Ovis aries: one gene and its partner. The main gene of each other region encodes a partner of the protein of the gene in region 2 in a complex. Links are inferred from orthologs where the notes say so. Each region holds a gene or a part of one and is shown on either strand. Other genes may lie near its edges.

Region 1 (3,653 bases), about 150 Mb from region 2:
TGGGAAATCTGTCTATGGTATGTAGAAAAATGGGGCTGAAATTTTCTCCCTTTTTTTAAGTATGGCATGATATTTAGCTAAAAAGTTTTTAATGAGAATTGAAGTCTTATTCATAATTAAAGTAACTCAGTTATGTAGGTTGAAATCATTTTTTTGGTTAGACTTCCAGAAAACTGAGACCCATAAGCATCTCACGTCATAGGTGGAAACTGTGACACCAGCAGCAGTTAGATGCAGATAAAATGTATTAATCTGACAGTTTACTGATCAGAATAAATAAATTCTGATTGGTTGCTAGTGGCTGTAAAAACTGAACCCTGTTTTGAAGCATAGAAGAGGAGGCCAAGAGTAAGCAATGAAGACTGTCATAAGGAAGAAAAACAAAGCATTAAAGGAGAGAAAAGAGAAAATTTGAGGAAAAGTAAGTGAGACACTCTTCAGGAATCATTATGATACAGTATTTAAAATAACAAAAGAAATGTCATATAGATTGTGATGCAGAATGACCTGACCTGGGTGCTTAAAATACCCTATAGAGAAAGAAAGAATTGTGCCTAACTGAGACGATGAAAACGGAAGAGTTTTGTTGGACTAATAGAGTGTTGTGGCTCATTTAGTTCCAAGAACCAAGATGAAAAGGGCTCTTTATTTGGCTCTGTGGTTATTGAAAAAACAGAGAGAGTTTTACACACACCAGAAATGGCTCTGTGGTTATTGAAAAAACAGAGTTTTACACACACCAGAAATTGTCTAAATTATGTGTTTTCAAAGGAATGGTTTTGCATATTAAACCTCTCCTTGTCTTGGAAGGTTAAATCAATCTTTGAAATATTTTAGAGTGTTAGTATCTTAACAGTGATTTAGTCATTGAACAGTTTTATTGTTATGAAGCTGGTTTATTTTGGCAATGTTTATTCTTATTCTACTTAAAAACATGAGTGAATTGACTGCTTCTAGGTTTCAACATAAGATGATGACTTTTATTATTTAGTGCTTCAGAACTGCAAGTTTAATAGTAAAATTATTACTCTTCTAAAGGCCAGGCCACCTCATGCGAAGAGTTGACTCATTGGAAAAGACTCTGATGCTGGGAGGGATTGGGGGCAGGAGGAGAAGGGGACGACAGAGGATGAGATGGCTGGATGACATTACCGACTCGATGGACATGAGTTTGAGTGAACTCCGGGAGTTGGTGATGGACAGGGAGGCCTGGCGTGCTGCGATTCATGGGGTCGCAAAGAGTCGGACATGACTGCGTGACTGAACTGAACTGAACTGAAAGGCCAGGATAGAGTAAATATGTATTGATTGTCACAGAATGTTTGGAAGTTACTTTGTAGTGAAAAATGTTTTCTTGATTTTGTTTTGCCAATTTTAGTATCAGTTATGAGAGGTGGTTGAAGAAGTACAGTTATTTGTTACCTTGGTTGAGTTTAAGTACACCATGTGTCTACCTACAGAACATTTTTATGAATGCAGAATATCACTACTGTGTAAGATTTTCAGTTTGATCTGGGTGCTGATGATGATGAGTACCCAGAGGAAATCGGTCTTGTGGTAGCTGACGCTAAACTCTCCTCAGCCCATAGTTACTATCTAATTAATATATAGGGTCCCAGCACCCATCTTTAGCATTTTCCCTTGGGGAGACTAATTTAAAGGTACATTTTTATTGTTGTTCATGCCTGGATTTTTTAACACATTGCATTTGCTTGGTATGTCTCAAGTACTTAAATCTGTTAAGTTTCTAAATCATCCTTTTTTTTCATTACCATTTATTTGTTTAAGAAACTGAGTCATTCATCCCATAATATTTCCCAAAATTAAAAAATTGATTTAAAGTAGTCCTAGAGAGTAAAATTCATGAACAGAGGAGCCTGGTGGGCTACAGTCTGTGGAATCATGAAGAATTGGACACAACTGAGTGACTAACACTTTCACTAGGGCATAAAAGAATGGAGTAGTGCAAAGAAGAAAACACAGCCATAATATCCTTAACAAAATAATCATGTGGCCATCTTTTAAAAGTGAAAAACACATACGTTTTTTTAAAAAAATGTTAATAGTATTAAAGTCTTTATTCACTCAGTGCCAATAACTACATTACTTTTCTGTATCTCCTGTATCTTTTAGGTGACTAACCTGGATGACAGTAACTGGGCCACTGCTTTCTCATCACAGCGTGCAGGGCTGTTCTCAAACGCAGAGCCCCACAGTGTAACAGAGGACGTTACCCTCAGTGCTGTAATGTTACGAGAGGATGATCCTGGAGAAGCTGGTAAAATAGCTTTGGTCTTTGTTTATAACACAGTAGTTTGTCATTTTACTAACATCAAGGAAATCATCTCCTATTCCTGAATATTTAAAAATATTTTTTGTTATGCTTATTAGTTATAGTAATGGCTGTGCCACTTGATGATAATGGGTTAGCCAAATTTGTTTGGGTTTTTCAGTGAAATTTTTGGCCAACCCAGTAGTAACTCTAGAAGGTTGAGAACCTCACCTTAGTTCTCAGTTGGAGCAGCATCCTGCCATTTAATCTTTTCAGTGTAAATAGCTCCCTGTTAGGTTATTAGACTAGTTGCTAATGCTTATATTCTTTCCAAACTTGTGCTGTTGAGAGAGCTTCTCTTTTTGTTTAATTTTTATCTGACATTGTTGACATGTTTTGTTTTGGCCTGAATGCTAATGCTGTTTCTTCAAATAGTATTGTGACCATTCTGACTTTAGGCTGGTTATTACCATACCCTTCTGGAAAAAAGCATTTGCTTTTAGTGTGTTTATACCTGCACGTTATGACATAGATTCTTCGTTAATTTATCATTATAGACTAACATATGTGAGTGCTAGTCAGTATGCTTACCACTATACGCACGTTCGGAGAAGGCAGTGGCACCCCACTCCAGTACTTTTGCCTGGAAAATGCCGTGGACGGAGGAGCCTGGTGCTGCAGTCCCTGGGGTCGCTGCGAGTTGGACACGACTGAGCGGCTTTGCTTTCATTTTTCACTTTCATCATCGGAGAAGGAAATGGCAACCGACTCCAGTGTTCTTGCCTGGAGAATCCCAGAGACGGGGGAGCCTGGTGGGCTGCCGTCTATGGAGTCGCACAGAGTCAGACACGACTGAAGTGACTTAGCAGTAGCAGCAGTATGCACATTAATGCATTTCATGGTCCATTAAATAAATACAATAACTATTTCATTTTCGTGGAAAGGAAACAGCTGCTTAGATATATTAAGTAACCTGTTTGAGCTTACCTGGCTAAGAAGTGATGGCACCAGGATTTAAAACTGAGTAGTTTGATTTCAGCACCCTTCTCTTAACAATGTAGTTAAGAGTAGTAGTGACTACTACTTCTTTGTAGTATATGCCAGTGATAAGCATTCAAATATTGAGTAATTCAAAAATGCTTTGTACTTAATATATAAAATATAAGAATTTCATGTTTAGTATGAACCATGGCTGAGGCCTTAGATATACGATATTATAGTAGGGTGTATATATTTTCCCTGAATAAAGCATGTCATTTTAGGATATGCTATAACTTTTCCAATTACTTTGTTATGGTGTACTTAAAATATAATTCAGGTGTTTTAAAATTTGGCTCATGTTTTTGTAGTAATTGTTGACAGACTAATAACTAATATATCT
Region 2 (3,653 bases):
TTGGGTTGGGAAGATCCCTTGGAGGAGGAAATGGCAACCCACTCCAGTATTCTTGCCTGGGAAATTCCATTGACAGAGCCTGGTGGGCTGCAGTCCACGGAGTCCGACAGGCCTGAGTGATTGAACACACACGCAGTACTGTAGAAAGGAAAGACTAAACTCGTGTTTCTTTCCTTGATAACCTATCGGGAGACACACTTGTCCCGCGCACGCTGGTGCAGATCTGCCAGCGTCTGTTGTTGTTTAGTCACTGAGTCAGGCCTGGCTCTTTTGCAGCCCCATGGACTGTAGCCCGCCAGACTCCTGCTGTCCATGGGGTTGTCTGGGAGTTGATTGCCATTTCCTTTTCTTGGGGATTTTCCCAACCCAGGGATTGAACCTGAGTCTCTTGCATTGCAGGCAAATTCTTTATCACTGAGCCAGCTGGGACGCTCAGACCAACATCTACCAGCATGTTTTTAATGTTTAAAAGACTTTGAGGACCTATCAGAAACCAGATGTATTTTTTAAGTGCCTTCAAGTTCTCAGTTCAAAGTAATTGAGTTTACTTCTGTTTTAAAAAGAAAGCTTTTATTATAAAAGTGTTTATATTTTTTATTAAAGTAATATGTTCTAGAATTACACATTGTACCCTTAACCATTCAGTTCTATTTCCTTTTGGGATTTTTTGCTTCTACCTTTTCATTTAACACAATCCTTGTGAGTTTTCCAGTATTAGTGAGAGTCTTGTTTAAATGTCATTTTTAGTGGCTACATAATTTGTCATGCAGATGTGCCCTAATTTATTTAACCATCCCCCTCTTGAACGGTTCAGGCTTTTTCCAGGTTTTCCTATAATAAATAAGACAATGACCATCTTTCAACTTTTCCTTCAGCATGTACTTTTACGAGTGCTTTTCTGTGTGTCAGCCCAAGTGATGAACATTTTTTGGTAAAAAAGGGATCTCTTAAAATCTGCTAGAGGGATATTCGGGAGCTGAAAGCATACCAGGCATCTTAAACCCAGTCTGTGTGCGGCACTTAAAAGGTTGTTGATTTCATTCTGTCTTTTCTGTCTGGAGCAGTGATTCCTAAACGGTTCTGTCCACTTAGATGTGGACCACTTGAGGCCCACTCCTCTCCCGAGTCTCACTTTCTAAAAGAAAAACAGCTCAATGGTATAAAAAGATTGGCAAGAACAAAATAATTGTCAGAAATCCTAAATGAAATACATTAGGAATAAAACACAACAGAAATTCCATAACCATTTTCATTAATACTCGAACAGACAGCAATCCAGAATCACAAGCAACTCAGTACAACTTCAGTGATACAAAGAGGGGTTTCTGGAAGTTATCTGCAGATACCAGGGGCTTCGCAGTGTTCCCAGGTGTTTGTGATAGCTAGACTTCTTAAAACCACATGGAGCTAAACACCTCAACAGGCCCTTGCAACAGACCAGTTTCCATTTATAATATCAAATTTTAGTTTTCTTTGTTGACCACTTTTTTGACCAGGCCTTGTGAGTACTTTACCTACATTTTATTTCATCTTTGCAACAACTCTATGAGGTATAGCTATTATTATCTGTCTTCCAAATGGAGACACTGAAGCCCAGAGAAATCAGTTAACTTTTCCAGAGTGGCACAGCCAGCAAGTGGCAGAGCCCTCAGCCTCAGCCCCTCATGTCCTTGCCCAGCAGACCACGCTGCCACTGTGAGAGCACTCCGTGAGGAGAGCACTAGGAAGTAGCCCTGAATTGTAGGTAAGAAAGATGACCTGCGGATTGACACTTTGTTCATAGAAGCAAAAGAAAACCTACCGTACGGAATCAATTCCTTGTCTTGTCAAGAAGAGGTCCATAGGCTAGCATGTGCTGAGAATGTTACTCCTGAGACACACACATGGGAGGAAATGTGCGTGAGGCCCTTTTGTTTCTCTTGTGGACAACTAGGTTAACTTCAGGTACTCTAGATGCAAGTGTATTTGTTGTGACTTAATGGTGATGAGAAGAACGTGCGTTCCTCTCACCTCAGTGAGACGACTCAGTGCTCATGTTCCCACGGAGAAGCACACGTTCTGTCCCGCGCAAGGACAGTGCTGTCAGAACAGGCTGTCCTGATGAGGTCAAGGGAGGAGAGAGGCTCTGGCTTAGAGAAGTCAGTGAGGCTGTGGTCGGTCATATTTTGTGACACCCAACCCATCTCTTAATTTCTTTTTCTTGCCAGGGTCAGCACCCCCCACCAAAGAGCCAAGCCAGCTCGATGCATTCTCCTTTGGCGGGGGAGGCAAGCCTTTCTATGAGACCGTTCCTGAAAGCTTACCTTCCTCAGGGACGATAACATCAGCTAGCACAGGAGCAGCTGGTGCCGCGCCAGGAGAGTCCGCCCCACACAGCAGCAGACCCGCAGCCCCTTCTGGAATCTCTCTCTCCACTCCCACTGGCAAGCTGGAGGCGCCACCGTCCAAGCTGGGCGAGCTGCTGTTCCCAAGCTCCCTGGCGGGAGAGACTCTGGGAAGTTTCTCAGGACTGCGGGTCGGCCAAGCAGACGAGCCCACCAAGCCAGCCAGCAAGGCACTATCCCCAGGCGTGACCAGTGCCAGTGCACAGCCCACCAAGACCCCCACCGCCCCCTCCGGATTCAGTTCTCCCAGCCCTGCGGTGCTGGGGAAGCCCGCAGAGCCCCCCGAGACCACCTCTGCAGCCACCTCGGCAGCGGCACCAACAGCAGCAGCCAGTCCCAGCCCCAGCAGCTCCTCAATGGGCGTCTTTGGCAACCTGCCACTCACCAGTGCAGGCTCCTCTGGAGCTATCAGTTTTGGGGGCCTGTTTTTCAGTGGTAGCAAGACCAGCTTTTCATTCGGAGGCCAACCAACAAGCAGCACAGCACCCTCCTCCTCCCCGGCGTCCACTGCCACGCCCCTGCCCACGTCACTCCCCACCTTGTCGTTTGGCAGCCCCCTGAGCTCAGGGTCTGCCCCCACCCTGCCCACGGGCTCTGGTAAAAGCTCAGAAGCAGCTGCGTCATCGGCTCTGCCCGAGAAGCCAGGCAGTAATGAGGCCTCGACATCAACTGCCTCCCTCCTGGGGCAGCAGCCACCAACCCCGCTTCCCCAGGCTCCGCTTCAAACTCCCGACTCTGGGAAGAAAGAGCCTGCTCTCACCCAGCCTGCCATCAGCAGTCCTAGCACTGAAGCGGCCAGTACCAGTGTCCTGGTGCCTGCAGCTGAGGCTGCTCCAGCAGCCCCTGGGGTCCCAGACATCAAGACGGAAGCACTGTCCCCAGGCCCCACCGTCTCTGTGCCTGGGCCAGCCACCATCTCGGCACCTGGAGCCTCAAGCACCATCCCTGTGGCCCCAGAAACATCCAGACCTGCCACCACCTCCAGTGGTGTTTGCAGCGCTGCTCCAGGCCCAGCCACGGAGACCCCAGTGTTTGGGATGGCCACTTCTGACTCCTCTGTCTTCACTCAGCCTCCCGCTGCCAGCTCCAGCTCAGCTTTCAGCCAGCTCAGTAGCCACACAGCCAGCGCCCCCTCAGCGACCCCCATGTTTGGGCAGGTGGCCGCCAGCACCGCCCCCAGCCTGTTTGGGCAGCAGACGGGCAGCATGGCCAGCACAGCGGCCGCCGCGCCACAGGTCAGCAGCTCGGGGTTCGGCAGTCCTGCCTTTG

The links. The genes of interacting proteins can lie anywhere in the genome.
Region 1: NUP214 (region 2) and NUP107 share a complex: the UniProt entries of both Homo sapiens proteins name them as parts of the nuclear pore complex. The link is inferred for Ovis aries from reciprocal best matches to the Homo sapiens genes NUP214 and NUP107.

What each region holds. Positions count from the first base shown.
Region 1 is NC_056056.1:151,297,272-151,300,924, reverse strand, and holds part of NUP107 (nuclear pore complex protein Nup107), read left to right. Parts: coding exon 1-17; intron 18-2,133; coding exon 2,134-2,278; intron 2,279-3,653. UniProt on the Homo sapiens protein: Plays a role in the nuclear pore complex (NPC) assembly and/or maintenance. Required for the assembly of peripheral proteins into the NPC. May anchor NUP62 to the NPC. Involved in nephrogenesis.
Region 2 is NC_056056.1:5,533,715-5,537,367, reverse strand, and holds part of NUP214 (nuclear pore complex protein Nup214), read left to right. Parts: intron 1-2,207; coding exon 2,208-3,653. UniProt on the Homo sapiens protein: Part of the nuclear pore complex. Has a critical role in nucleocytoplasmic transport.